Linked DNA regions of Neodiprion lecontei. Each later gene encodes a partner of the first gene's protein in a complex. Links are inferred from orthologs where the notes say so. Each region holds a gene or a part of one and is shown on either strand. Other genes may lie near its edges.

Region 1 (17,247 bases):
TTGAATGAACTTAAACAAAAGTTTAAATGCTCTAATGGTCATTATTGAAATAAGTATCAAATAAAGTATTTCTGTAAACTGATGATTCTTATTGATTAGTTTCAATGTAAAAAAAATTTCTAATATTTATGAGATAAAACCTTTGTGGAAATTAAATTACTGAATTATGTCCAAAGAGTAGGATAGTTGAAGTTTCTGAGCTGAAGTATTCTGAAGTAAATGGCGTTTATCGAAAAATTACATTATCCTCAAGAATCAAAAAGTACTGTGCAATTGTACTGTAACAACAACGTGGGCTCCTAATTACCCCAATAAAAGTACAGAAAACAACCAAATCTTCCTCAACACTTTAAATAAATTGACGAATGACGTTGACCATATAAAATACATATCCTTGTATGTATTGTGAAACTGTTTGTGGAATATCCATTAGTCTAATTCATTCTGATCTACTATACTCCAGGAAGCAAATTTTTTTTATAATCGATACGGCTATAACAATCGAAATGGAGTATTGACCTTCATTTTTAATATTTTGCCTACTCGAAAAAACCAAATCGGTGACAGATCAGTGAAAATCATTTTTATTTGATGTTTTCTCAGTACCAATTTATTATTGTGTATCAGGAAGCCTTTTTATTACCTACGTTGTACCCGTGTCTGCACTGTCATCATCCCATTCATCAGCTATGGTACCAGCTTTCACATTTTCTCGCGGATTTTCTTTCACTGTTTCACCTTCTGTTGCCTCGATTTGTTCCTCTTCTATAATCATGACAGACTCTTCTGCCGGTTGGGATTCAATGGTATGCTCATTTAATTGCTCTTCATGATATTCTAGTATTTCTGTTTCTTCCTCTACATATTGGACCAGGTCTTCCCCTTGCTCAATGTTACCTTCTTCTTCAACCATACCTTCGTTTTCTGTTCTTTCCCCTGTGGCCTCTTCATACTCTTCTGTTACTTCTGCTTCTTGAGCTTCTTCAGTTGCGTCCATGTCCTCTGTTTCTTCATTTTCACCAGCTTCCCCTTCTTCTACCTCTTCAACCTCTTCTTCAACTTCTTCTACTACCTCTTCAACAATTTCTTCAGTTTCTTGACATATCGCTGCCGAGTCATCGACCTGATAATGTTCGTGACTAACTTCCTCATTCTCATGGACGTAAACAATCATTCCATCTTCGTCACCTTGCATAACTATCTGTTCATTAACCCCTACGTTCAATTGGTGTACTGTTTGCTGATGGTCACCTCCCTCTTGTTGTTGATATTCACTGTTATCAATTAGCATAACCATTTGTGGTTCTTCACCAACTTGTTGTCCGTTATACGCTATATTGTGCATTCCATCAGTAATTTGCATCTCAGGAACAATATACTCCGTCTGATCTGTTGTAATTACTTGTTCATGTGTTGCAATAGCATCACCTACACCCAGGGATGCTGCAATTCCACTAGCCACATGACTCAGTGCTTCTGCTTCGGATGACGGCTCTAGAGCGATTGGAGCTGTTGGCGCGATGTCGGAATTTTTTGATATATCTTTATGGACACAATCAATGTGTACCTCCAAATTTGACGCTCTTACAAACAGCTTACCACAGTGTGGACAACGATGGGGTTTATCTCTAATTTCGCTTCTGTTTCCGTGACCTGTGTTCATCTCGTGGCTAGCCAGCTCTGATATATCTGCAAAAGTCTCAGCACATTGTGAACACTGAACATTTTCGGATGACGGAGATGGCTGATGAGCAGGGGCGCAATGTTTGTTGTTGATTTGATGTCGAGCTAGAAGATTTTCAGATAGAGCGACATAAGAGCATGTATGACACTTGGGGAAACACATACTTTTAGGAGGTGGTACGTTATGTTTCGTATAAAGGTGGTACATTAATATATTGCGCTTAGTAGCCTTATAACCACAGTGTTCGCATATCCTCGGGTCAAACCTTTCATCATGAACATCCTGCATGTGTCTCCTATACATATAATAAGTCGCATATTCTTCTTCAATGTCACATTTATTGCATTTCCAAGGACCTGACTCTGTTCCGTCCCCTCCGCTAAACTTAGGCTCTTCTGAGCTTTCACTGTTCGTGTTACCCATCAGGTGGTCAGACTTGAGCACAACGTAAGAAACTTTAGTTTTAGTCGGAATACTTGGTTCGGCTGATTTTGCCTCCTTCTGCATGATTTTAAGACGTATGTTCTTGTTATTTCTAACTAAGTGGGGATACTTTTTGAGAACCTCTCTTATTATTTTAGCGTGATTGTTTATTGCTTCTGGGGTGTTTGTTGGCGATGAGGTACTCTTAGCTTTTTCTAAATTTTCTTTTTCCTCTAAATCAAATCTTACTCGTTTAGTCCGAGACTGATTGGATTCTTGCGGTCTTAGTATAGACTTGGGACCGCCCCAATCATCATCTGAATTGTCTGCTGCCGTTTCTTGGTTCCTACCATGATCATCACCCTCCTCATCATCTGAAGTCTCGTTTTTATAATGTCTATCTTCGTCTCTTGAACGTTTTATTCCAGTTTTGAGTTCATTGTCGCAATCGTCTTGTGAGCTGGGCGCCTTGACAATAGGTTTTGTGTTATAGGTAATGTCGTCAAAAGAGGAAAATACTCCCAAAGCAAAATCTTCCACTTCAGGGAGATCGAATCGAGAGGGACCAGGAGTGGTATCCTTACCAAATGAGTTATTTGGGTAGTCGTAATTGGATGCAGAGTCTAACTTTCTTTTCCAAATTGGGAGCCTGAAAAAATTCGTCGCGAATTGAATATTTTAATAAAAACTATGAACAAAAAATGATAACATGGTAAATGATTATGTAAAAAATTGATAGCTATGTACTTACTTTCGTCCTGGTAATGGCTGTGAAGGCAAAATTGTCGAATGACTGAGACCACTTAATATTTTTTTGCTCTGCGTGACAGGTTTTGTCATAGTAATTACTGGTTGAACATTAGATTTTGACTTTGGTGATGGATTCAATTGCAAGTCTGTGGTATTAAATTGTGCATCAAGTAACTTCGTTAAGACAGTCATGTTCATTTTTTGTGCTGTCCGATACAGAGCATTTTGTTCTGAAGTCCAATACTCCAATTGACCAGTGTACATAAAACTGTGGAAAAAACGAAAAAAAAAACACTGAAAAACGACATTGTACATTTTTCTGCAGTGGAAACTAAGTGTCAAAAAGATTCTAGGCTATCACTTTAGGTACATTATCTTTGTTATTGAATGGCAATAATACAATGTACTGTTTTCCAAGCCTCTGAAAATCAATGATAAAAATAAAGCATAAGGTACCTGATGATAGACTTGACACACTCATAAGGCATATCCGGTGGCATGACAAGTACACCATCAAAGTTATCATCTTTTTCTTTGAGCTGGCATTCGAGTTGCGTAAAGTAATCTGTGCATGTTGTGATTACTAGACGATGAGCCTGTTAGGATTAATAATAAAAATACTATTGACAGTTGTCAAATCATGTTTTAGAAAGTACCACAAGAAGTAAATGATCCAGCTGCGTCATGAAGTTTGCTAAACTGTTCAATAAGAGTAAATACAAGTAAAATATGTACCTGTACGGTGATGTCACTAGTTGGAAATTTGATTGTAAGGTCTAGTAACTCTTCTTCAAAATAGAGCTGTTGCAATCGCTGGAGAAAAAATGTCCCCCAATTGTCTACTTTCACCTGCTTCAGCCCCCGCGAGGGAAGCTGTTTAACTTGATTCGTGACAGTCTGCATTGTCCAGCGTCTATATTAGATATGTAAAAGGAAAAACAATATCATTGACTTTGATTCTATAAAGATACATATTTATACTTTCAATGGATTTCAAGCTATTTCTTTTCTCTGTGACCATGCATTTATTCACAGTGCTTAAATCGAAAGTATGCCAACTTTGTCTAAAGAAAGTTTAGATTGCACACAAAATTTACACAGTTCTGATCCGACAGTTTAACGAAAATGAAAATTGTCAACAAATACAAAATCAAATTGTATCAAGTTAATCCAGTCGCTGCAAAGGACAAGTGATAAAAAATCATTGTGAAGAGATTTTGTGGACTTTAGTATGAGATTTGAATTTGCAAGTCTACGCGTTACTGTTCTGATATATTGCAAGTTATTGAACATTGAACTATAGTTTAGCTGACTGACAGTGAGAAATAAACCGAAAAACTGATTGTAATTGCAAGATCCTTATCAGTGACATGTATACCTATGTAGGTATTTGCGGATAGAGGAATACAGAACAATCTGAGATTGTTAAACAGAATAAGTTGGTAGAATTGCTGGAATATTGGGCGGTTAGAAATGGAAAAACTCGATTTATCCGGCTGATGGATCTCGCCTAAAGTGAATGTTGGCGAGGTGATACATGTAAATAGGCTCGACCAATTAACCTAATCTACGGAAGGCTAAGTTCCAGGAGAGAATAGCGTATGATGTACAGAACGTATACGTCGCAGGTTTCGAGCGACCAGGGGACGCGTCTGGTCATCCCATTGTGGCCTTTGCTTACGGGGCTTCGGGTTAGTCCCGAATATCTGAGCGGAGTATCTGATTATTCCAGTTGAGGAACGATACCGGAACATTCTTTAGCGTTCAAACGCACGTACCTTTTCAACAGGATTGTAGCAATTCTCCGGTCAGCTCCATCTCTTACAAATTTGCTCAGTAGGCGACTGATATCGAGCTTTTCACTATCGTTCGTGACCCACAGATGGCGCTGTTGTTGGGCTGTCGCGTGCGGCCGGAAATTAAAAATTCACTATCTCTAGCTTCCTTTCTACCCTCACAGGAATATCAAGTAGACTCATAACTAGTAAAAATTATATTTGAAAAATAAGCTTGTTCACCTAAAGTTTTACACTGACTTGTTCGTTTAACCTAATTCACTATTATTCAGATATTTTCATTTGATATTTTCATTTATCTACCAATTTTTATTCACGGTTGTGCGCATCGGAGAAGTGCGCATGAGGTCTGATGCATTGCCACACAATGCGCATGCGTCGATTGCCAATCTTGTATAATGTTGGTATAATATTAATTACCATAGATTAGACGATATTCTGGGCAGTCTGAGCACTCCGACTTACGCTCCGGCTGAAGAATAGTATGCCGGAAGCCAGCGGCAAAACTCACAACCCATGCGATGCTATAAGGCCGAAACAGCGAGTTCCGTTTGCTAAATCACCAACAATTTTAACGTTTACTCACACCCTGATTCTATCGGAGGGGCTTATATTCACTCAGACTTTTAGTGTACAAGTGATTTCGTATGACTTCAAGTGATTCCGGATAATTTCAAGTGATTTCAGATCTTTGCAATACACTACGTCTAATTTTTCCCACTTCGTATGATTTCATGCGATTATATGTGATTTCACGGAATTTCTAATTGTTTTTACATAATTTCATATCGATTTCACACGAATTGGGGTTTAACATTGATTGTAGAATGACTTCGTGACGAGTATGGTAGATTTCCATGCAATTTCGGCTTGTAGGCAAGAGATTTCACGTGGATTTACATATCATAACTGTAATTCTTCTTTTACGTTGTGATGTTTTAAAACTATTTCTGCTCGTTCCATAATATATTACATATTTCGAATTAATTTTATATCCATTATGGCGGATAGGGTGAAAAATCTAGAAAGATCAGAAAACAGAAGTTACAAACTAAAATTTTCGAAGTCGTGAATATCTATGTGACAGAATTTAAAAAAGCAGAAATTAGAAATATGGAAGAGTTAATTAATGTAAAAAGGTCAGAATTCTGACGATTCTATGTTTCGGTTTTGTGTATGGGACATTCTACATCAAATTAACACCGCATGTACCTCACCCCCTTCGATTTGGATCATTTTTTAGTATAATGTTCTTGCCGACCCAAAAGTGTCTCAGATTTTTTTTCAGATTTCTTGAGCCACCCGTGAAATTTAAAGAAAATCTGAGGACCTATTCTGAAACCGCCATTTTAAAAATCTGAAAGTAATCAAACAACACTATTCTTTTTCTATTTTCTAGTTTTTCCATGTCAGAATTGGAATTTTTATTTTTTTGGTCGGGCACAACTTTTTCAAATATGAATGGATTTCAATTTTTCTGGCATTTAGAGAAATGTCAGAAGTCCTGAATACAGTTGATGCCACTGTAATTTTTTATTCGCACTGTCTATAATATGTATATTACACAATCAATACAAAATGCGCTTAATTCTGAACTGCTCTTTCTTTAGACTGTTTTCTTTTTGTTTCCGATCGGAATCCATTACGGAATCATAAAGTTAATGTAATTTTAGTTACAATCTTTCATTTTGAATTTCTCTTCATTGCTTTCAGTTTTTTTCGGTTCACAATTTTGCAAGGCATTGTTTCAATAACTTGCAAAAACAATTAGAATGGCATTAACTGTATTCAGGCCTTTGAGCATTTCTCTAAATTCCAGAAAACTTGAAATTCATTAACATTTGACAAAGTTGTGACCGATAAAAAAAAAAATTTCAATCCCGACATCGAAAAACTAAGTATAGTAAATATTGAGATTCCATTATCGTGTGGTGCTTAAAAAACATATTTTAAATCATAGAATCAGTTTGAATTTTATTCAAACGCGTGGATTATGCGTGGAGTTTTCGTTATTGCGATGCTTGTTCGCTTTTTTTTATTTTATTGTCAGTCCTCCGTAGGGTGGTTTCCTTACTAACAATTAGTAGTTTTTATTTCAGTTTTTTGTTCCATTAGTTGCTTATAATTACCTTCTGGTAGTTTCTGCCTCTTTTCATTACACAATTCTTAATCTCTCTTTTAAAGGGTTCCACAGATTTTTGTCGTACTTCATCTGATGAATCATTACATATTTTATTTTTGATTCAAACAAAATGTACACTTTTTTAACCTGAAAAGCGGGACGACTGTAGCGTATGATTCTCTTTTATACTTTTTTCCGCAAATTACTTATCCCGTTTTTCGGAGTTTCTCTCTTCTTTCTCAATTTTGAACTAATTCTTACTGCATTATTATAAATTTTAAATAATATTATAGTTTTTGGAAGAATAAAATTATGACACATCCGCATAATAGAAAAAATGATGATTTTTTATACAAAAAATGCTTTTATCCGTTTACAGAGTGTTCAGCGACCAGGAATTCCTGGAAAACCGAGAATTATACGGGAATTTGAAATTGCCCTTAAAAATGCCAGAAATATACGGCAATTTCATATAGCAGCCGGGAAGTTTTTCATTAAATTGAATTTGCATAAAATTTCGTCCTAGGTCTAGTAATGAGATCCCTGACTCAACTTATTTCACATTAAGGGAATGTCCTGGTCCATTGCGACGCTGAATTATATATATACATATATTGCAGTCGACGTACCTCAACCGCGAAAAAGGACTCAACACTCCCTTCTTATAGACAATTCTGAACAAAACTACTTCAATACATTTTCATTTGACGCAGAAATAAAGAAATGGCATGTACTCCACAAATTTACTGTAGCGATTTTACAGAAAGCATCCCATCCCTTTATTTGTGCGTCAAATGAAAATGTATTGAAGTATTTTTGTTCAAAATTGCATATAGAGTAGGGCAGTTTAACCCTTTTCCCTGGACCTCGTTATTTGGCGATATCGGCCAGAGCACCCCCTTAAAGACGGTTACCCTAATGGAGTACTTTGTGTTTGTCAATGAAGAAGCTGACGGAACTTATCCGACGAGTACCGGTCGCAGTCATAAAAATTTGCCCAGGGGTCACCGTACTTAAATTCTTCAGTCAACGTTCTGTATGACTCATCGTCCTGTTTACCTGTGAAAGACTACCATCTCCGTCGGACCTCGAGCGTGTCGTATATTGTGAGACTCCACAGAAGCAAACAAAGTGTAGCATTCTTGTATAATACTGTTGCGATTGATTTACTCTCTTCACGAATCCAGATTCAGCCTTGCCATCACGCTGGAGACACGGATTGTATAGTTGTGTGAGGTTGATATCAGTTACGCAGAGTACGACCGAGAGAGCGTCAGGCGTCTGTCATAAGCGTCTTGTGCCCTAACCTATAAATTTGATCGTCGGCTATCAAAAACGATTTGTTTATTTATTTTATCAAACAAAAATAAACTGGGGGGAATCAAGTAGAGTGTAAAAAGATCAAAAACAAAATGCCACCGAAGTGTAAATTTCAAGAAGGTGTGGTAATTGTAATTATTTGTACTCAAATTGGCGATAGTTGAATCCATAATTATTATACCATTGGATTTCAGGAGAAAAAGTACTCTGTTTTCACGGACCATTAATATACGAAGCCAAATGCCTGAAGTCTTCGGTTACCAAGGAGAAACAGATTAAATATCTGATACACTATGCGGGTTGGAACAAAAAGTAAGTAACCGTTTATTCTTATTTTCTGAACTCTACCACGGTTCGCGTGTATTTGCAAGAATACAGGTTATAACAAATGTTAAGCATTGTTTTGTAGAATCATTTAAACACAATCTTCAATCTCTTTCCTAATATTTGTTCATTTGGTTGTTGAATTATTGAAACTATCAAAATCCAGTAAATGGGTGGACTTTTCTTAAGTGGTTACATGTTCATATGCCCATTTTCCTCATTTAATAAACCTGGATAGTTCATACGCTCCAAAATTTGGAAGTTAATTACATTACAATTTCTAAAAACCAGCAAAAATTTACCAGCACTTATTGAATTATAGGACAGTATTTACTTTTTTGTGCAAAGTATTCTCTACCACTATCTGAATGTGATATCACTGTGCTTATGTAATGGGTAATTAAATAATAAATCATAATCATTAATAAACAAGCATTTTTTGAGATGAGGATACTTGAATTTGATGTATTTTGTGTTTTTGCATTTGATATATCGCGTTTTGCGCAGATGTATACTGCAACTGGTTTTCTTATTACCATATTGTTAAAACATTCTTATTTACCTTAAATGTCGGAAACATTCTTACCTAACTTTTAATGCGAGATTGCCATTCCAGGTAAATATAAAAAAATAATTTCACAAATGCAGTTTTATACCTTACATTCAGGGTTGATTTATATTGAGAACAATACAGTATTACTTTTAGTATGAAACCTGATACATTAGTCTTTTATCATATCCTAGATACTACTGTAATGGAGTAAAGTCACAAATTACATAAGGGGACGGATGACTGTTTACTTTTAGTTGGGATGAATGGGTGCCAGAGAGTCGAGTGCTGAAGTACAACGAGTCGAATGTACAAAAACAAAGAGAAGTGCAACGTGCCCATTCAACTCAGCAGCCTTCGCACAAAGGTAAAAAGACTGGGACCACTACTAAAGCCCAAGGGCGTAGAAGTGAGAGTGGCAGAGACAAAGATAGTGAAAGTCGGGCAAGTACTCCTGTTGGAATAGCTGAGAAGACGGGGGGCCGGTCTATCAAAGGGCTTGGCGGGGGTGCTACACCGTCATCGTCCCATGATTCGTCGTCTGATGCACCGCGCAAAAAAAGAAGGTTCTTACTTCTCTTCACTCTCTATAACAACAAGTGACTAGATTGGTAAAAGTTTTGTAGTATTGTTAATAGAATCAAACTGATTCATTTATATTCAGCCGCGTTGATCCTTCTGTGGAAACGGAGGAGCAGTTCTTAACAAAAGTTGAGGTGAAGGTTAAAATGCCTGATGAGCTGAAGCCGTGGCTTGTCGATGATTGGGATGCTATTAGCAGGCAACGCAAACTGGCAATACTACCTGCAAGGAATACAGTCGATCGTATTTTGGACGATTACGTCAAATTTAAGACATCTAGTAAAACCAACAACCCCAATAAGTATGTAAATGTTCAGTTTTAATTGAAAAATTTATGACCAACTAGAGTTTGCTCAGACCTCACTCTACTCAGTTTAAAAGTCCATTACTCCGCTCCAGGAAGTCATAGCCGCATAAACCATGGACCTGAGTGGAATGGCACCAAATTGAGTTTTGGGACCATTGCATAACACACAGACATACGAACTGACAACGCAAATACGTTTTAACTTCTTTTCTACTAATAGTTTAAATAATAGCTCGGACAGAAACATTATTTTTCATACTAATTTTTCTGCAGAGAAAGCGCTGTTCTAGAAGTGACAAAAGGCGTGCGGGAGTATTTCAATGTGATGTTAGGTACGCAATTACTTTATCGATGGGAACGTCAACAATACAGTGAAGTAATGACTGAAAATCCAGACTCAACTCCCAGTCAAATATACGGAGCTTTCCACCTACTCAGGCTATTTGGTAAGCGACAAATTTATTCTCAAGTCTTGTATTGGATTCAAAGTAGCACATATCGTTTCAGAAAATGATTTGGTTAAAAATATTAATCATAACAAACCTAGTGAATTTCATAATTAATGAAAGTGCAATTTTTTCAATGAGAAAAATTAACGGACGACCAGGAGAATCTACCCTGGGACCAGTGGAGGCCTATACCTGGACTTATACCCACTGGACCACCAGGTTTCCTCGCTACTGTCACGTTAATCCTTCTCATCTACTGTCTTGAATTAATTGCATATATATTCTTGACTAGTCAAAATAGAAAAAAAAAATCTAAAAGCAGCATACGCTAGTAGTTGTAAATAAAACTCGTGTAATAGGCCGCAGTATGCAATACAAACCATGCTTTGTGTTAGCCACCGATACCTTGCAAGCAAGATACGTGCATACGACTTCGCCTAACGAGTATGAGTGCGATGTAGTCAATAATATCATATATATAATGTGAATTTAATTTGAGTAAATTTCAAAGTACTCTAATAATTTCATCCTACAGTGAAACTTGGCAGTATGTTATCTTACACACCTCTCGACGAGAGAAGTATTCAGTTACTTTTGGCGCACATACACGACTTTTTGAGATACTTGCATAAGAATAGCAGCGACTTATTCAGTCTTCAAGATTACGGAGCAGCACCACCGGAATATCACCGTAAATGCAATTAAGTTGAATTATGCAACATTTATATTAAAATGTCAGCAAAATGAGCCAATGCATCCATTTTACCGCTTATTATAATCACTGTCAAACTGCATTGTCCCTCTTGTATTTACTATGCAATTACCATAATATTTTCCTCTTTCTCTATGGTTTAATATTTTCGTATTCAGTTATTTCAAACTTGTGTGCAATTTCATTTTTAAATAAAATAACCTCATACGACATTTCTCTTGGACTGTTTGTCCACAAATATTAACCCCTATAACGTAGGTAATTATTGAAGTGACATTTTTTCGGGGTTCCGATAACATTCCCATACATTTTTTTTTTTTTATTGTTCTCAATCAATCACCTACAATGGAATGTAGGGCGTGATTTTACCGGGTATGAAAAAAATCATTCTCGGGATGACTTCTGTGTGTTTGACCGAAGAATGTAAGCCCTTGCCAAAGTTTAAAATACACGCGTACGATGGCAGTGCAGGTTGAATTATTGGAATTTCAAACGTTGGGAGAAATAATAGTTTCATGATATGTATCGCCACAGATCGCCACTTGATCACTACGAAATACACGTAATGTGTATTATTTTCGTACCTCAGCTGTACTACCGTATTAAGCAGAAAGGTGGTAACTTGTTTTCTTACCATTCTAAGATATTCAGTTTCATATAATAATATTTTAGCGGACAAGTTCTCATATTTGAATTGAATCACGAAGATAAAAGATTATATTACTTATTCTAGTTATAAAAATGTTAATTATTAGATAATTAAGTAATAAAATTGAAATTTTTTGTATTAGCTACTTTGAGAATTATTATTTGTAACGTTTAATACTAAGATTACCTGATGTATCTTATGAATTTGAATAATTTAAAAATTATTTGTTAATAAATTCTACTTTTTACATCATTTTCTGGGAAAACATATTAGAGAGAGTATCACAAGCAATGAAATACTTAGATATTTCAATTGCAACTTAAGCTAAGGGTTAAGCAGCTACGCTAAGAATACTAAGATATTTTAGTCGTAACTTAAGAGGTTATGCTAAGAATATTAATATATTTTGGCGTAATTTATTAATATCTTAGTAGTTGATACAGTAATTTTACTATTAAAAAATACTTCAAATTGATTATACAATAAGAATGTTTACCAGTCGATACAACATCATCTAAGACTCATAACACATTTTCGTGAAAAAAGTGATTTACTACCTCTGTGCGTAGTACGGTAGTATAACTTTAGTCTGCGAACAGGTCTGTAGGTCACGAGACGTCATATAAAACGTTTCGTCAACGATGCAATAACCATAATAGCAATGCGTTTGTTGCCTGATTGTCAGAAAACTGTGCCATCGGCACAATTTATTTTTGCCTTTTTACAAACAGCATAACTTCGAGTGTTGCACAATATCTGAGCGGATTCAATTTGTGAAGAATCATCAATTAAAAAAATGGAATGAGGGCGTGTCAAGTTTATTACATTTAGATTTGTGCAAGCTATGAAAAAAATTTTAACCACATTTTACACAATTTGGTTTTAACATGAGAAAAAATTCACGCATGAAATTAAATATAAAAACTTCGTGAATTCGTCGGTGTAAACAGAGGTGCTAAAATATCCGTTTTCATCGGTCGGTTCTATTTTGAAACGGCGGATCGTGCGGCTGGCCTAGCGGCTATAAACGCGAGGCAATTTTTACGGATAGGAAAATGAAAACACGGGTCCGAGGGAAACTTGATTCCCCCGATGCCAAAGTTGGGAGTAACTTCATAACGTACGAGACGACAGAGAAAAAATCATACCTATAAGTTTCAAGAATTGTTTGCATGGCATAGTTATTTGATACGCGTATACATTTTATATCGCACACCGCTGTACAATACTGTGGGGGGAAATGAGCGTGCTCGTTATGCTCGTCAGAGATTATTCAGCTGTTCGTTGCCCCAGAAACATGTCGTATTTATAACATGGGATACCGCACGCATCTTTCGTTAATGTGGGAGGCGCATAAATTTGGCGCGGCGGAAAACAGTCGAACAACCATAAACGGTAAAATATAGCTAGATGTCATTTAATTTCAAGAATTTAACCCTCGTTTAACGTCGTGTGTATGTATAGAAATAATTACTTTCGAGGGTGTTTTCCCGGAGGAGTTCTCTGTTTTGAAATTTTTTATTTTATGCCAGCAGTTGCGATAGCTTCTGCCATCTGCAGGGAGACGCCGTCCGCGATACATCGGTTATTCATAGCGCAGATTATTTCAAATATATGATACGTACGATACGTGTAAGTATGCAGAGAGAATTTTTTTAGAATTTACGTTCGGCGATCCGATATGATTTTCGCTTTTCTCTGTAATACGATTCGCGCGAGGAACAGAAGCAAAGAAATGAAAAAGGGAACCGGGTATGAATCACTTCATCCCGGCCCTATGTAGGAGTACGATACGGATTTATGTTGTTAAATAAATAAATGGATAAGGTCTCGCTCAAGTTTATGACACACTTATTTATAAAATTTACCTCTTCATAACGGTTTATGATATTCTGCATCGCTGCAGGTTGAGTCATCACATAAGTTACACACTCTGTTGTGGTTCGGTGAAGGCTTTTCTGCCTCCCGACAGTGCTCTTTTATACTCATGCACTGTAACAAGCGTAGCAATCGATTGAAACAAAATCTAATTTAAATATATTTCATCGATTACGGGTAAGTTTGTGCACTGCTTTTGCATCCTTGCCCGTACCAGCATGGATTCATCTTAAAATCATTGATTTTCGCTTGTATCTAAATATGAAATATGAATCTCTGTGAATAATAAACTCTCTTCTGTGTGAAAATTTTATTCTAAAAAAAATCAGAGTATTCTTAAATGAAACTTTGGTGTAAGTTAATTTTCTATCTGTACACTATTTCGTTATATTCAATAGAGATTCAATCGAGTGCGATAACTTAATTTAGTCTCATGATTTTCCCAGAGGACATTCAAGCATTCTCTTCGGCCAACAAAAATAAATAAATAGCTCAGAGTTCTAATAATGAAACTGAAATTTGAATAAAAGTTCAATAAATTAAATTTGATGTAGAAATGTACCACTCGCGAAACCTTGCAGGGATGTATGTAAAAACAGCAAATAAAACAGGATAGTGTTGTCAAATTCCAAGAAATCACGAAGTTAAATACGGCGAAATTGTAAAATTGACAATTAGGTATCTTGGAATGAGTTGACAGTGAATCTCTACGACACTCTACGACTTTTTAATACGGAATCTCCGTTCACAGATTTCGTCGAAAAACTTGTGGTGCTATGCATGAATATTAGCCAAGAAAGATCGCACCAGAAACATGACAATCCCAAAGATCGTGATCTATTTTATCAAATCATCGGCATCGAAGTATCACCGCGGGATTGGGCAATTTCATGGATATATCATACAGCAGGTACTTTGGACATTGAAACGATTGACTTTCAAAGTCTGCCGGAATACGCGTTCAAAGGATGGAGATGACTCAGTAAGCCGTGGCACCTTATGAGCAGTTTTAAGCAAGTAGGACACCGGCCTTGCGGCCAGGAACAGAACAACTTTGTTGAGATATTGCTAACCATTATCTGCAATGGACAAGGTAAAATTGCATATTCGGCTGATAGCCAGGCCATATGGTGGTCTATTACTTATTACTATCCTGGCCTTGGTCTCGTTTTGTCCAGTCGTCAGTTTACCGAGCAGCGCTTGTAACCGTAGAATCTTCCAAAACAAAAAGGAAATAAGATCGTCAAAAGTTCCGATAATCTCTTTTCTGTTATGGCATGCTGATTGCAAATCCCGACCATGAAGACACGTTACGAACTTTCCGTTTCATACTCAAGCGGTTTATGATACGCACTTTAAATTACTCGCAATTATCAGCATTTTTCACGGTGAAACGTGAGCATATCAAGTGCCACACGATCGTTGTCAATCTTCTCTTATCAATACAGCGGTCGTTTTGACTATCCGCGATTATTACAGTGTAATCCCATACGACACGGCATACTTGAAAAATATTTAAGAAACGTCTCGTTTGAAACATGTTATATATTTCACTGCAGCATTTTAGAAATATGTCACGATTATGTCCATGTCTGCATATATAACTTGCGAAATATTTTCCATAAATATTTCATAAGTTACAAATGCAGACACAGACACATATCTGATACATTTTTGACACGTTGCATAAACACTTCATGCTACAAACGAAACATTTCTGAAACATTTTTAACATATTTCGTGCCATGTGGTTGGTTAATACGTAAAGTAAAAGAACGTATTTTTAAGTGGATAGCAGGATTTTTAGGTCACCGTAACCTAACTTTGGTCCCGAACGTCGACTCTAAAATTCCTATTCAAAGTCCGCTGTGACATACTTCGCATAATCATGTCCTAAGTCGGTATTTGAACCGTGATCTTCGCATTACTAATCGCACATTCTAACCAGTACGCTATACTACCGCTTATGAGGTCTTTCTAGTTTTCTCTGTGTCATTTCCGCCGAAGTAATGTAATGAAATTCGGCAATAATAAAACGAGTGATTAGTTTAAAAAATTCAATTTTGTCGGTACAGTATATTGAATGGATCATGTATTATAGGAAGATGGTTTTAAGTGAAGTTTATAAAAGTACTGGAAATATTGGGTGGCATCTTACATATGTCTAAAATATTTCAGCAATATTGGACACGGCATATTTGAATCGTCAAATGTTTAAAATATTTTTGAAATAAAGAAACTATTACGTGTAAAATAATATATTTCTGAAATTTTTACCGATATATTCAACTGTTATATTGCAGTTGAGATGTTTCCAAAACAATTCAGAAATACCCGAAGTCTTACGTTGCAGTTGGAATATTTGTGAAACGTTTCGATAGTTCCGGTGATGTGATCTTACATTTGAAATATTTTTGAAACGTTTCGGAAATATTGAAAACGTTATATTACACTTTACATATTTCAGACACATTTCAGAAATATTCTTGAAATTATGTTATGAATTTGAAATATTTCTGGCGTATTTCATGTGTTGTTGATCTGATTTACTATGCTTCGAATTCCTTTCGTCACAGTTTCTTTGCTTCCTCTTTGCCGTTTTATTCTTTTAGGACACCGCTGACAATAAGTTAGGGTACATGGAGACCAGAGCAAAGTAAAGCTTATTAATCGGATGAGATGTGTTACGGAAAGTTGTAACTGACGGTGCATATTAAGAAAAATGTAGTGGAATGAAATAGAATATACAAATTGATAGATGTAGGCAAAATCCAAAACTTCATCAAAATCCACATTCTCGAAATTCGTAATTCATCATTGCTTCGTCATACTGCAATTCTAATCACACAGTGTTTTTGAGTTATAAATTGCAGGTGTATGGTTTAATTAGCTTCAATTAGTCGATGGGTCTTGATATCGGGCATAAATATGTGTATACCTGTATAGGTGAACCGTGACGGAATTTGTTTGCTCACATGATCGTATGGTACACTTGTGAAGCACACATGAACACACAAGAGTGTATTCGTAATGCACGGACGTAGAGTTCCTGAGAGCTATCAAGAAACGCACGATCAACCGATCTCAACATTTCAAGAACTTGCCCGAATATGAGTCAAGGCTGCCCTCGGGGACCTTACCCACTTTTCCATATAAGGTGGTCAACTGACCGGCTCATGGTTCACGCCTGCGTATGTATGTACGTCTGTAATACACATTGCATACTTGAACGCAAGTGCTGGAGCGCCCAGATGCGAAGATAGGTAAAGAGAAAGAAGAGTGAGTGTGTGTGTGTGTGTGTGTGTGTGTGTGTGTGTGTGTGTGTGTGTGTGAGAACAGAGAGAGAGAGAGAGGAGGAACTCGTTACTGACTCGTACAGTTGACGATGAGTTACGTGAAATTAACCAACAATGAGATGTACGATCACACGAATTCGTAGTAACTCACCATGAGTATAATTACAAATTTCACTTCGACGATGGAGCAAAGTGTATATTACGTATAAAGTTCCTACCGAATGGTTTGCGTTTTTATCCCATGATCCTGGGAACTTACTAAAAGAGAGATATCTTACAATATTGCTTGTTATAGCAAGCGGGGCTTGTTACGTATTATAGCAGATCTTCCTCATGTCTCGTTATTAATTACCATATGGGACAGAGAGAGTCTTGTGTAACGCTCAGTGGTACTTATAGGTTTCT
Region 2 (15,115 bases), on another chromosome or scaffold:
AAAACTGTCAAATAATTTTCGCGACAGTATATCTGTGCAATAATCAAAATATATTTGTTTTCCACAATTGACCCATGCTTAAAACTGTCTATTACGAAGAGAAATGAGCTACTTGACAAATAAATTCATTAAAGTAAGTGTTATTTAATTATGAAAAGTAAAGTTTTATAACTCAATTTTTCAGCCTCTGTAAAACAAGTAACTGTGGCCTCAACTACGCGAGGGTCCCAGTGAAGACCCCTATTGACAGATAACCTTCCATAAATAGCAGGTCCGTTCAGGTCACGGTCTTCTACAAAATTCTGAGCACTCAGTCTCTAAAACTCATCGGCATACAGAATGGACCGCGCGTTCCCTGCCTGAGCAATGCACAGAATATGTCCGCCGCTGTGCAAGCGAGATAAAGCATTGCAGTGTTAATCGCTGTCTCTTTCCAAGACCGCTATTGATTGAATATCCCACCGCGTAGCTGAAACAAGAACACGAATAGGCCCGTACTGCTGTCCGTCTCTTTCCATTCGGCGGACACGTTTTTGGCCCGCTCTCGCAGTCCATTCTTTATGTCGATGCTAAAACCGTGACCTAAAAATGTGCCAGGTGGCGCCGGTGAGGGGGAGGCTGGCTTTTATATATGCCTCTTTGTTGCACACCCTGCACACTCCGGCTACCGAAATTGCAGCGTTATCAACACGGTTACGCCGCGCTCTATGGCAAAAAGATCGGAGTTGATAGAAGTGCCCGCATCTGTGTAGAAGACAGTGGTTCTAGTTCACTAATTTTGATAAGACAGTTTTCCAAGTTCTTTACCAAGCACCGTTACTCTTCTATCTTAAAATTACTCAACTCCATCAAGATGGTAGAAAAGAACCTTGGCAGACCATTTGATGCTTGTAAGAGATTCAACTGTATTCCTTTCTGGGTGTGAAACTTGTTCAAAGTAGTAAAAATTGAAGTAAGCTAATAACTTTTTACTATTCCAGCCTTGATCAAGCGCATCAATTTAAATGTACCAGCCATAAATACCAGAGTTAGATATATCATTGAAAAGGCGAATAGTATTACCGAATGCAACCGTGTAGCATGGCTGATCAAAGCAGTAACATGCATAGATCTGACGACACTGGGTGGTGATGACACTTTTGCAAGTGTTGAAAGACTCACTAAGAAGGTGACATTAAATGCAGACTGTTTGGATGGATGTGATCTAACAATTTCAATATTTTCAGGCTGTTAAGCCTATCGTATTACCATTTGAATGGGAAGGCTCTCTGTCTACTGCAGCAGTTTGTGTATATCCTGCGCGTGTCGCCGATGTTGTGCAAACATTGAAAAACCTTAATGCCACGGGAAAAGTCAACGTGGCTAGCGGTAAGAAATGTCTGACTCAAAATTTCACATAAAAACAACAACGATGAGTTTACAAATGTCCAATGATGTGCATAGTTGCTACCGGATTCCCAAGCGGTCAATATCCGTTGCAAACCCGGATGGATGAAATTTCGCTCGCAGTTTCGAACGGAGCTACAGAAATAGATATTGTCATAAATCGAACGCTAGCGTTAACTCATCAGTGGGAAAAACTATACAATGAGATTAAATTAATGAAGCAAGCCTGTGGAAAAGCAAAAATGAAGACTATTTTAGCAACTGGTGAACTTTTTGACCTCAAAGATGTGTATAGAGCATCAATAATCGCAGCGATGGCTGGATCAGATTTTATAAAAACTTCTACCGGAAAAGAAACGGTAAATGCTACCTTACCTGTTGGGATTGTCATGTGCAGAGCTATTCGGGACTACCATAACTTGACTGGTTACAAGGTACGGGCAATAAGTTAGTAATTTCGTTCGAAATACTTTTGGTAACACTTGCGTATTTTCAGGTCGGATTTAAACCAGCTGGAGGTATAAAAACTTGGGGAGAAGCGCTGCAGTGGCTGGTATTGATCAAGGAAGAACTGAGCGATGTATGGCTCCATAATAGCCTGTTCAGAATCGGCGCTTCGAGTGTGCTAGGTGACATCACTAGCGAGATTAATAGGTCTTTGGATGAAGTTAAAGAGGCTAAAGTACCTACTTTATACGAGCATGAGAACTTTGATGATTCAGACAAATAAAAGTATCTTCAAAAACTTGCGTTAATTTTGTTTAATAATTTAAGAGGATTTTACAGATACGAACTCACCTTACTAACAATGGTGTTAATAGGATCCTCCTGTTCTCCCGTTATTGAACTTTCTGCCTTCCAGGTCTTTATAGTTTTGTCATCGCCGATACTCAGAAAGCTTTCCCCATCCGATGAAAATGCAATACCTCGAACTATACCGTCGTGAGCCAGAAACGAGCGCTCGCATACGCGTTGCGATAAATTCCACACTTTAATCTCTCCATCAAATGCTCCGCTCAAAAGCATCGATAACTTTAGAGGGTGCTTGGAAAGACAAGACACACTGTCTTTGTGGCCATCCAAACTCCCTATGAATGGCTTGGCGAATACTCTCTCTAGCTTGACTGCATTTAAAGCCCTTGTATACTCTCTCGCAGCCTCAAACGGATGCAGGGATGGATCGTAGTTTCTGGGAACTAGAAGAAATCAAGTATTTTAGTAAATATGTATAAAAAATGAAAGAAAAAAGATTAATTTTCTTTTTTGTCGGTTTCGCTGCAAATCCAGTGTACACAATACGGTTTATAGGTTAGAAAAACTAGGTAGAAATACGTGCAATACCTTTATGAATATCTCGTTTGGTTTCTCTCAGATATTCATCGGGATTTCTGCAGAGCACCTTGACTTTCATTTTGGTACAGGACCAGCCCTCTGTCGTAAATTATCCAATATGTAAGTCGATTGATAATTACAAAACATGTGAGAAAAACGCACTATGAAATCTAAGGGCTACTGTGCCATGTGTATGAATCTGTATGAACTATGTTTGAAAATGAAGTAACCTAGGATTGGTCGGATCTAACGGAACACACTAATGATATCGCTTTATTAGCTAAAAACTTCGCCGATCAAGAAAATTAAATGCAACATGGCTCTGGTGTGTAGATGGGGGCTCATGGGGGCGTCAGCTGTGTTATAACCTCAAAAACTGACGGCTGTCAAACGCTTACTATCAACAAACAGAGTGATTGAGGTTTAAAAATAATAATGACGAACGAGAGCGGAGAAAAAATGCTGGACCTTCGAAAATCTGAAGAGGAAGCTAAGGCAACAGCGACGAAACACATAATAAATATGCTCCAGCGTCCTGGTCAGCTGGAAAAAGTAGAACATTACAAGCGTAGGATCAGTCGGAAAAAAGCTTCGATTGAAACGAAGTTGAAAACTGCGATGCAAAGTCAATTGGACGGGGTGAGAGTCGGTTTCAATCAGCTTCAAGAGTCGCTGGAAAGTATCTCCTTGATTAAACAAGAACTGGACCTGATCGGCGAGTCATTTGGCTCCGCTCCTGAGCTGAACAACACTCTGCAGGCTGTTCAAGATGAGAACATGCGACACTCGCAGTACGTCACCGCTAAAGAGAACCTGAAACACATATTCACTGTTCCAGAAAGCGTTGAGAAGACGAAGCAATGGATAAACGAAGGAAAACTTTTACACGCCCATCAGAGTTTGATGGATTTGGAGAATTCGAGGGACGACTTGCTGTACGAACTGCACAAGCTGCCCAATCAATCACTCGCCGATAAAGTCATGCTGAAAGCGTACTTTGAAGATGTAGAAACTTTGTCGCAGTTAATGGAAAAGCAAATTAAATTGGTTGTTGGTCGCACTTTAAACACTGTCAGAAAAGAACCAACCATCATTGTTACGGCGCTGAGGATAATTGAACGGGAAGAGAAGGCGGATCAGTTTGCAATTCAAAGGCATAAGCAGAGCGGATTCATGCCTCCGGGAAGACCGAAGAATTGGAAAAAGATGGCAATTGAAGTATTGGAGAAATCTGTGGCCAACAGAGTCGAGGGAACTCATGTAGATGAACGAGCAGACAATAAAATGTGGCTGGCAAGGTATCTGGAATTGGCACGTCTCCTCATCCTCGAGGACCTAAGGGTGGTAAAAACACTGTGCGGACCTTGCTTCCCACCCTCTTACAACATAGTCAGGAAGTTTGTAGAGATGTACCATAACAGTCTATCTCAACACTTGAAAGACATAATAGCAAATGGCCTAGAGGGTAACGAATACGTATCTCTGCTTGCCTGGATAATGAACACTTATACAGGTGTAGAACTAATGCAACACCCGGAGCTGAACATCGACACCAGTGATATAGGACCTTTGCTGAGCAACGAGGTCCTGGAGGAACTGCAGGATCAATACTTGAAGAACATGCAACAGAACTATGAAGAATGGATGAAGAAGACATTGGAAACTGAAAAGGTTGACTGGTGGAGCGGAGTACTGCCAGAAGGTAGTACGCAAGAAACCTATTACCACACGGCAGCACCGGTAATCATATTTCAAATGGTGGATCAGAATCTCCAAGTAACGAAAACGATCAGCAATCAACTAACTGCCAGAGCGCTTGTCCTTTGTATAGACCAAGTTGTGAGATACTGTGCGGCGTATCGTCAGGCCATACTTGAGTTCAAAAGCAAACATTTCGAGGATCGGAGCAGAGTTCCTTACTTCACTCACCACATGATCACCATTGTAAACAATTGCCTTCAGTTTATTGAACTCGCTCAGCAAATGAAACAACTTTACTGGGTTTCCAATGCCAGCGGTGATGCTGCTGTCAGGTTTGAGGCTCTCCTGGCCAATTACCAACAGCTGAGAGATGAGGCGGCGACCATTTTATTGGAGGAGTCGTTCCTAGACTTGGAACTCCACTTCCAAGATCTCCTCACCCCAAAATGGCTCTCCTCGCCGATACCCGTAGAAACGATCTGCGTAACCTTGGAGGACTATTTTCAGGACTATAATCACCTTAGAGTAAAGAATTTTGAATATGTCATTACAGAGGCTCAAAATCTGATAGCTAAACGATATATAGCAGCTATGCTGCAGCGAAAGATATCGCTAAAGACGTACGACGAATGTCTCACTTGCACATCAAAAATTATGACAGAGGCTGATAAGATAAAGAATTTTTTCGTCAGAATTGCACCCAAAGTGGGCAACTTTGATTCGCCTTTCGAAGTAATAAAAAGACTGGCCGAAGTACTGCGTTGCGAGGATTCTGAAATTTTATCTTTGGATCTACATTCACTCGTTGAAAAATACCCTGACATGACCGAAGATCATCTCGTACGATTGTTGAGTCTCCGAGGAGACATACCGAGAGCTACAGCTAGGGAAAAAGTAGCGTACATATACGAAGCTCAACGTAATCGAACAGCTCCACAGCCCATGCCTAATAGTATATTTAAGCAAATTGTCATCCAGGATAGTTTCTTAAATTGGAAACCCTGAGTACTGTAAATAAATAATTTTTCGTCTTGTATAGAAATTTGTCTAGTTATTAAAAATGGGAAAGGTTTTTCGGTTCACTTCTATATCCCACTCCACAGAGCTAGCTGTACGGGCATTTCTGTCAGAAATTGTGCTCTGCATGTTCAGCCAATAAGTATACATTCAGCAATGTCGGCAAAATTTTCTTCAATCAAACGTGTTATCATTTGTAGCTGACGTCACAATTCGAAACGTCTTAATTCTATTCTGAAAAAAAAATTACACTCGAATATAGAAGGTTCGTTGTTTTTCAGTTTGAAAAAAAAACAGTCGTCTGACAGTTGCGCACAGCCACGCGTTTGGCGAGAACACGAAAGTGTGATCTAACCTCAAAAACCCACGTCAATAGTGGCTTGAGCCTCACAGGCATCACTGAATCAAAGATCTTCTCCTCGAATGAACAATAATTAATAAGAAAGTGAACTATTGAATCAATCGTGCTGTCAAAAAACATTTCTCTACGATGGCATCGACGAGAGAGAGACGTTCCAATGCTGGGAATAAAATGGCAAGATTACTCAACGAAGAAGAAGAGGATGATTTCTATAAAACTACATACGGAGGGTTCGAAGAAGTCGAGCAGGATAACGATTACATGTTAGTTAGATGAGAATTTCAATTGACAAACATTCTGTTTAATATTTCCATAAAATTAGTATTTCACTCACAGAATAATACTTCATTGTAATGTTGTTGAATACTCAGGGAAGAGGACGAAGGCGAGGATGAAGTGGACTCAGATTTTAGTATAGACGAAAATGACGAGCCTGTTTCCGATCCCGAACAAGAAGGACCCAAAAAAAAACGACGCCTTGTTACAAAGGCATACAAAGAGCCTAAACCTACCTCAGCACACTCACATTCTACTCCTAAAGAGAAAAAGACTAAGACACCCAGGCAACGTCGAACTTCTATTGACAATTCAGGTATATCAGGAAATATCAATGGCGATAAACGTGATCATAGCCATTCGATCAGCAGTATTTATAGCCTCATGCCAAACTACTATCCCCGTTTCGTTTTAAAGAGAGAAAATCCATTCGTCGTTCTACTGCTGCAAAGTCGGCAGCGACCCAAAGACGACTCAAAGAGAGAAATGAGGATCTGAAGAGAAAAGTTAAGACTGTAAAGTACGACGTTTGGAAGCCAACGCAGGAAGAACTGTTGGAGGAAGCCCTCATCACGGAGGAAGTAAATTTAAAATCATTAGGTAATGAATAATACTGCTGGCAAGTAAAAAGACATGATTGTCTGTGCCGATGGATGGTTATTCAACTCATACTTTTAACATGTTTTGACAGAAAAATACCAAAAGTTAGAGAACGAGAAGAAAAACACGAGGACAGTGCGAAAGACAAATGTTGGCCCCATTATACGTTACCAATCTTTGTCTATGCCTGTTTTGATGCTGTCTGAAACACAAGCTGACAAAGATGAGGAAAAAATTAACGTCGAAGCTGACGATGAAAAAAATACCACTAATACAACCAGTGATATTCTAGAACCTGGATTATCACCTCCCTTGTCTGAAAAACAGTGAGACTTAAATTGGTCGTTATTTGTGTAAAGCCTTTTGCAATATGCAGACCGCAATAAAAAACAAAAACGTCCATAACTGCCGTAGTTCTAACTACTTTCAAAATTATTTTTCAGAGAAATAATGGATCAACAAAAAACTATTGACGGCGGTAACAAAGATACACCTATTAAACAGAAGGGAGAATCGAGCTCAGCTCCTAATGAAGCTGAAAGTCAAATCATTCATGAAGATACAGGTTCTAAATACGAAAGAACTTTCATCACATTTGAAAACGAACGACTTTTTACGGAAGCTTTCAAACGTACACCTGCTCCTCGCCCCTCACTAAAATCTCTTTGTGCAATTACAAGGTAAGTTACGGCCTTTCGACATTGATGTATTACTCCTGAAGGTGATTACTTTGAAATAATCAGGTACTAATACACTATATTTTCTGAATGATTTTAGACTTCCTGCACGGTATATGGATCCAGTGACACAGCTACCGTACAGAAATATACAAATGTTTAGAATATTAAGAGAGGCGTATTATCAACAGCTGGAATCTCGTGCAGAGACAAACGATGCTACTCAAAACCTTGAATTGGTACGGTGGCTTGAATGGCGTCAGAAAAATCGTCGCAATAATAACAGAAATACGATTCGTCTGGAACCCGCTTCAGTGTCGCAGGCATCTTAGCTGATCCTTCTGGTCAATCGCTATTCCTTGTAGCATTGAACAGTCTTTTGTCACATCATTTGACATGACACTGGATAATTATTTTATCAAATGCCTGCTTCAGTATTTTCATACGAAAATGAGAATGAAAATCGAAAAAATCGAAGCAATTTACACCACTTTCCCTTTCGAAAATATGGAAATTGCTTCTACTCTGTTGGGTAGATGACTTCCTTCGAGGGATTTTAAGAATTGGGATTGGATTAAAAAATATCTATTTTTTAAACGAACGGAACGAGTTTCAATGGTTTTTATTGTTTTTTTTTTTTTTCTTTTTTTTTAATAAAGCTTTGCCACTTCACATTAACTAGTAGAATAAGTTAAAGTTTTTTTGTTTTCATATTCTTTATTGCTAAAATGCAAATTTATCATTTACCTACATGGATTTAATCAGGAAACCACAATCAGCACTAAGACGTTTTCTATTTGATACAACGAAAGAGACGTCTTTATTTCAATATGAATAAAATTAAATGTGTAGAAAAAAAAAATTAGGTATGTAATTGTAATTAATAATAAGGTTAGTAAATTACGCATATCATAAGGTTTTCATAACAGTGTGTTTAATTTTTTAATTTTTTCTTTCTCAAGATTTTTTTCCTTCATTTCTTCTAAAGCATGTTTTGTATAGTAATTAGGAGTTGTTAATCTCTCGTGTAGTGCGCGAAGCCTAGACATTTCAAGTTCCACAACGTGTTGTTCGCTGTTGCCTTTGCTTCGATTTATTTCATTCAGTTCCAAGTCATTCTATTTTACGACAAAGATGGTTCTCGCAATCTGCAACGCGTCTACACGCGTATCAAACCAATCAATCATTTATCTGTACATGCTCAAAATGTCTTCCTGGTCGCAATCTTAAATTAAATTTAAATGTCTACGTGAAATTGTTTATTATTTTTTTACCTTTGTTTTTTCATTTTTTAAATTAATATTTCACACGTTTTTCTGGACACGAAGCTGTTTGTAAAAAATAAAGTCGAAAAGCATACAGTTTAGTGCTTGCGCGTATCATTTTATTTTAATTCTACTACGTGCGCGCGAGAGCAAGTAGTGATCAACATGGAGTCATTCCCATCTTCGTCGTTTCGTCTTTATTGATATTTAGTATTTTCATTACGACGTCTGCTCTGCACAATTATCATTGTAATTGTGTTATTATTTATAAATTGTTTATAGTATATGTACTCGTGATCATCACACTATGCGTAGAGAAGAATAATTATATATGTATTACAAAGAAGCGGTAATACAACATTTAATTATCATAACGTAATATATATATATATATACATACATATATGTATAATAGTGTAGATATATATGTGTATATATATGTATATGTATAGTAGTAAATAAGACAAATTTGAATAGAGGGCAGAATGGTGTGCCGGCCACGGTGAATTCTTTATCTTGTACGTCGCTTTTTCGGGAGAATTGAATCTTTTTCTGCCATTTAAACCAACAGACCAAAAAAAGATCTTCTACACCTATACAAGATCGAAAATATAGTCTTAGTCCGCGTCCTACCACGCATCCGCTGTACCTACCACCAGTCACCACTCTCTCCCTCCAGCCCACCATGTAACCGCTTCTGAAAAATTGGAATGATATCAGAACGCTCCAGAAAGTAAGAGGAAACAGGAGAAAAACGTCCTTAAATTAGTAAAATGTAAGCTTTTGAATAGTTTGTGTCAGGTAATGGTTGGAAATTAATCAGATAAAGAATAATTAAATAACGAATGACCATAATAGAATCAATTTCACAGCGCCACTCACATAGAAAGCAGTAAGGCGAGTCACTGGCAACACTGCTTGCGCATTCCGTCAGCATTCATCGTCGGTTTAACGTCGATTGGCTCTACGTTTTGCGGCCGGATAGTGTCACCTTCGGGAGGATCTCTAATTTGTTTCTGAGAAACGATTCTGTAGATTTCTGAAGAGTTGAAAGAATGTATAAGGAAACGTAAGACGATTATAAGTTTTCAAAATTTCGTATTAAATTGAAACTGAATTCTTGTCATGTTACCTGTTAAGATATTCTGGAAAGCGAGTTCAACATTGGTCGAATCCAGAGCGGATGTTTCGATAAAAGAGAGGCCATTCTTCTCCGCAAATGCCTTAGCCTCGTCGGTAGGAACTGCTCGTAAGTGCCTCAAGTCGGATTTGTTGCCCACCAGCATAATCACTATGTTCTGATCTGCGTGATCCCGAAGTTCTCGCAACCATCTCTCCACATTTTCATACGTCAAATGTTTTGCTATGTCATAGACCAATAATGCTCCAACTGCTCCGCGGTAGTACCTGTCGTACATCCAACATGTAATACAAATTAATTACAAACAGACCAATCACAAGGAACAATAGTCAAATATTCCATAATCATATACGCACGCTGAGGTAATAGCTCGGTAACGTTCTTGTCCAGCAGTGTCCCATATTTGAGCTTTGATAGTCTTGCTGTCTACTTCTATACTGCGCGTAGCAAACTCAACACCTATGGTCGATTTTGACTCCAGGTTGAACTCATTACGTGTGAAGCGTGAGAGCAAGTTACTCTTTCCTACTCCTGAGTCTCCGATTAGGACAACTGTAATCAAACACAATTGTCACTGGAATTACCTTGATTAATTTCCCCCGTGTACTCGAATGGCATTCTGTTACCTATCAGAATTGTTCTAATTCTTCGGTACTGACTTATGAAAGGAAATTAATTGACCTCAAGTTCTTGAGATCTCGATCAATTACAGATGTGCTCTTAGACTCTAGAATCTAAGAAGAATTGATTTCAGTTGCAATCAAACGGTGCCATGAATAGAGTAATATATGCAAATTAAAGTTGATATGTGCATGTGCGGTAACAGATTCAATGGGTTCTACATCGAATATATGTAAGTAGGCGATTGTCGACGACGAGAATTCTTTACTCATTTATTAAAATTATTTCGGTGTCAGGTCGCGCTCGTTGTATAGCAGGAGGCAGGACAAGCCTGTAAACATGTTACGAGCAGACGAACAAATCAAGTGTGATAGCGATAGTACTACTGTTGGACATGGACAAAACAAAGATAAAAAGATGCACAATAACCTGTTCCGTCACAAAAATTCTCAGTACCAGCGTGTTGGAAAATAAATGTGCAGAAAATTTTTCAAACTGAACTTTCATCTCTGTGAAAAAATTATCATAAAAATAATTTTCTAAAGTTTGACAAAGGTCATTGTTAACAAAGCAACTCATATAGAGCCGAGCACAAGCATTAGTCAGACTAGAGGGAGGCTCAGTCATGTTGTGACACAGTCACATTACTTGATTACGAGTTATACGTAAATGAGGACTACAAAGAATAGTAAAAAAGAAATGATATTTGCTGACGTCATGATTATTTATTGTACGTTGTACGCAAAACGGGAACTTATAATCAAAGTAATTCGGGAACGTTCGATATTTCGTGCGAATGGAACAAATAAATGCCATCAATGATATTGTCGAAAGATCGCAGAGTATCTCCGCGTTTTGAATAGCGTAAACTATAAATAATTTCATAAGGTGGCAAACATATTCCGTTAACGCGGTTCCTGCAAACAATAATCTGTTCGCGGTCGGAAAAGCGATAACGGTTAGTTTCCTCGTGACGGAAAGAACGCAAGTGACGTACGTATGTGCCAATGTCACTTAAATCAAGCAACAATACAACAACGCGTGAAACATGACTATATGAGAAGAGTCCTATGGAGTTCCGAGCCGCGTTCGTCGGAGGTTGGCAAACCGACAGAGGATAGTCGCGTTATGGCTCCGTCGCTTGATTATCGAGTTGCGATTATGAGTTTATGATTATTCAAACGGGTACAATTACCTTTGAATAAATAATCGTACTCGTCGTCTCGAGTCCCCATCTCCGCGGTAGCAACGAACTCCTCCCTTGGTTTCGTTGCGGACGACGACGACGTTTGTTCCTCTACCTCCGATCACGGATACGCAAGAAATATTCCGACGTCGCTGTCTGTATTTATTTTACAAAAGCCTCGTCGTTTTAGGAGCGATTTATCGATGACCACCGATTACCGATCGGTATATTATTTAGACAGGCTGCACGGGTGTTTACTTGAAAAATTACTGTGACTGGACGGTTCCCAGTCTAAAATAATACAATTAATTATTTTCTCCCTTTCAATTTAACTGTACAATATGGCCTCCTTTCTACGCCCCTCCAAACCGATATCCCGCGCTTGCGCGGGACCTCGAAACAACTCCGTAACACGCATGCGCTGCGTTATTGCGATGACACGATGATGAGCAACGTCAAAATGACAGATCGCGCATATATTGCATGCTTTTTGCTTTTGTACAACTCGCTTACATCGACATTATTCCGCAGTCTCAACTGAATTCAGAGAAATCCGAGAACGGAATTGAAACGCCATAAAGTTCCCTGTAATTTAGCTATCAAATAGACTTTTTTTTTCGAATTATTATACTTGGTAATCAGTGTCCAATAATCACGCGGCACATGTCCAGCGATGACACTTCAGATAATAAATGCTCTGTTCCGGATTGATAACTATCGAGACATTCCAACCCAAGGCGTGTCTGTATAAAATGTTGTACGATAGAATTCTATAGCTCCGTTAAAACGAACCATCAATTTGCTGTTTGGGCAAAAGATTGAAAATGATTTCCTTTGTCCGTACGATTTCAAAACCCGAATTCCCGTTTTTCCCCCGACCGTGATTTCATTTTCAACCCACAGCTGCATCGACGAATTTATTCTGCGTATAATATATAATGTACAAAGTAGATTTAACGAGCTTTTGGATTATATAAAGCTTTGATAAAATCTTCATTAAATGTCAATTTAAATAACGCGTCAAATATAATTATTTATACACCGCTTAATTGACTAGAGAATTGAAATATTCCTGGCTATTTTGGATGGTTTTTGGAACGCGCGCAAAGTACGCCGGCGATAAGTGGCGCCGTCTCGTCCAACGTCCGCACCTCGCTACACGATGGAGTTCAAGTCCTTTCCTTTTCTGTTTCGGATTGCAAGGGGTGAGTCGGACATATTGTTGAATAATCGTAATTTATCCAGGACATCACAGCTTCCAGTGAACTTCTATCGTTCGATTTTGCACCATTATACGTTTACCCTCAATCTCTCGGTAATAGTTTGCAATTCTCAAGGCAATACCAAAAAGTCTTACTCCGTTTGTGCTTTTAGGTTATCCAGCGCACAAGTGTATCAATTAATCGTACAAAGCTAGCGGCAAATATATTCTGTACCAAGCAGCGAACAGCAATTGTTTCTCTTTGCTTGATATAAAATATTTTTACTACCTTCGTCAAAGCTGATCTGATCTGATCACTAGCTAGTCTATTTTTATTTAATTAATCATTAAGTATGTCTAAAGTTGACAGTGAAACGCATGTCGTACGCGTGCACGGTTGTTTCGTTCGACTGGGTACGGAAATAGTACAACTTTGTAGTTTCCGATATTTTTATGATGATTGGGCATGCACCACTCTGACCCTGAGTGAATTGAGAAAAATTACCCTTGTTTTTTCTGAAAAATATCCGCTTATTTGACATCATTTTCGTATGTTCAATTGAACTGTTATCAAGAGAACGTTTTTTTCTTACACCAGGGAATCAAGATGGGTGCATACAAGTATATGCAAGAGCTGTACCGTAAGAAGCAGAGCGATGTGCTCCGTTTCTTGCTTAGAGTTAGATGCTGGCAGTATCGTCAACTCACCAAAATGCATCGTGCACCCAGGCCATCTCGTCCCGACAAAGCCCGCCGCTTGGGTTACAAAGCTAAGCAAGGTATTTGCGCAAATTTATATTTTTGAATGTAACAAAATTCATATTTCTGTCTTTAAAATTTATATTTTCTGTGATGAACTGTACATGCACCACTCTTACTGAACCGTGGGGATATGTACTGTCTGATGAAAAGTTTTAAATAACATTGTTTGGTCTGGGTATTTGATCTACTCTCGTTTAATCTTTAAATATATTGAATATTAGTAAAATATCGTTTTACAAATTCTTACAGGCTTTGTCATCTTCAGAATCCGTGTGCGTCGTGGAGGTCGTAAACGCCCTGTACCCAAAGGTGCTACCTTTGGTAAGCCAAAAAGTCACGGGGTGAACCAATTGAAGCCCACACGTAAACTGCAGTCCATTGCTGAAGTAAGAGTCACAATATCAACTTATAAATCTGCAATAATATGAGAGAAAAAATTAATTCAATCTTGCAATAATGACCTCACTCACCATGTTTCTTACAGGAACGTGTTGGTCGCCGCTGTGGTGGACTGCGTGTGCTGAACAGCTACTGGGTAGCTCAAGATTCGTCCTACAAATACTATGAAATCATTCTCGTTGACCCTGCACACAAGGTAAAAATTTGTATTGTGGTAATTGTAGAGTTTTCAGATATAGACAAAAAAGAGATATTTTTTCTTTTTGCTACAAAAAAAAAAAATATCATGATTGCCCCCAGTGACATGATGATATCATTATTTTAGCATTGAAACTGATGATGTTTTTGCTTCCTTGGATGTCTGATTACTGGGTGGCCTATCTTATATTACATTGTTAATATTTTGATTTATATCTTTGCGTTCCTAATTTTTAACGGCATATTATTCTCCACAGGCAATCCGCAATGATCCAAAGGTAAACTGGATTTGTAACTCGGTACAAAAGCATCGCGAGCTGCGCGGAAAGACCTCAGTAGGCAGGAGTTCACGTGGATTAGGAAAGGGTCATCGTTATTCGCAGACGATCGGTGGATCGCGTCGCGCCGCCTGGTTAAGAAGAAACTCACTCTCGTTGCGCCGAAAGCGTTAAGCACGTGCTCGGCGTTATATTTTTCGGTGTTTTTTCGAGCGAGTCGTGGTCCGTTATCGTACACACGTTATTCAGCATGTGTTGGTAGCCGTCACGAGAATAAACACCATTTTACAATAAAGTCGCAGCGATATTTTTCCTCTTTTACCCTCTACTTGATAGATTATTTTCGGTATGAGCGAAAAGTTAAGATTATTCTAGATGTCATCGACGTGGATTCAAACCTGTCTGGATCTAAATACGAGTCTTAATGATCGAATTTCGATACAACCCCGTTCGTGGTATCAATTTCGATGATTCGCTTACTTGCTGGGTTTTGCGTTTAACGAGAACGAGCCGACATTACATCGTGGTTATCTTATCGAAATGCAATCTTACTGGTTATGTAATATGATAATACACACTTCACCCATGTTAAACTATTATTGTATAGTGCCTAGAAACTCTCGGTCGCAAAATTGAAATTTTTCTTCGGAAGATATCAAGCCGAGGCAAAATGGGACAAAATTGTTGTACTAGCGATGATTCCAACGAACACCT

Evidence for each region.
Region 2: mortality factor 4-like protein 1 (region 1) and vacuolar protein sorting-associated protein 72 homolog share a complex: the UniProt entries of both Drosophila melanogaster proteins name them as parts of the tip60 chromatin-remodeling complex. The link is inferred for Neodiprion lecontei from reciprocal best matches to the Drosophila melanogaster genes MRG15 and YL-1.

The regions. Positions count from the first base shown.
Region 1 is NC_060265.1:18,754,623-18,771,869, forward strand, and holds mortality factor 4-like protein 1, read left to right. Parts: upstream 1-5,104; 5' UTR 5,105-5,330; intron 5,331-5,363; exon of another isoform or gene 5,364-5,510; coding exon of another isoform or gene 5,511-5,529; intron 5,530-7,157; exon of another isoform or gene 7,158-7,721; 5' UTR 7,722-8,187; coding exon 8,188-8,215; intron 8,216-8,289; coding exon 8,290-8,407; intron 8,408-9,226; coding exon 9,227-9,535; intron 9,536-9,633; coding exon 9,634-9,852; intron 9,853-10,131; coding exon 10,132-10,304; intron 10,305-10,842; coding exon 10,843-11,012; 3' UTR 11,013-11,838; downstream 11,839-17,247. Other genes in the region: centrosome-associated zinc finger protein CP190, read right to left, coding at 644-2,756, 2,859-3,125, 3,314-3,453, 3,593-3,760. UniProt on the Drosophila melanogaster protein: Part of the Tip60 chromatin-remodeling complex which is involved in DNA repair. Upon induction of DNA double-strand breaks, this complex acetylates phosphorylated H2AV in nucleosomes and exchanges it with unmodified H2AV.
Region 2 is NC_060260.1:914,744-929,858, forward strand, and holds vacuolar protein sorting-associated protein 72 homolog, read left to right. Parts: upstream 1-5,574; 5' UTR 5,575-5,926; coding exon 5,927-6,060; intron 6,061-6,168; coding exon 6,169-6,389; intron 6,390-6,490; coding exon 6,491-6,673; intron 6,674-6,764; coding exon 6,765-6,999; intron 7,000-7,116; coding exon 7,117-7,353; intron 7,354-7,450; coding exon 7,451-7,682; 3' UTR 7,683-9,180; downstream 9,181-15,115. Other genes in the region: DDB1- and CUL4-associated factor 13, read right to left, coding at 2,185-2,582, 2,728-2,797; deoxyribose-phosphate aldolase, read left to right, coding at 632-890, 981-1,168, 1,227-1,368, 1,444-1,820, 1,883-2,116; exocyst complex component 3, read left to right, coding at 3,154-5,424; ras-related protein Rab-11A, read right to left, coding at 9,518-9,654, 9,748-10,022, 10,113-10,308, 11,573-11,612; 60S ribosomal protein L15, read left to right, coding at 12,649-12,768, 13,363-13,543, 13,776-13,912, 14,011-14,121, 14,381-14,575. UniProt on the Drosophila melanogaster protein: Part of the Tip60 chromatin-remodeling complex which is involved in DNA repair. Upon induction of DNA double-strand breaks, this complex acetylates phosphorylated H2AV in nucleosomes and exchanges it with unmodified H2AV.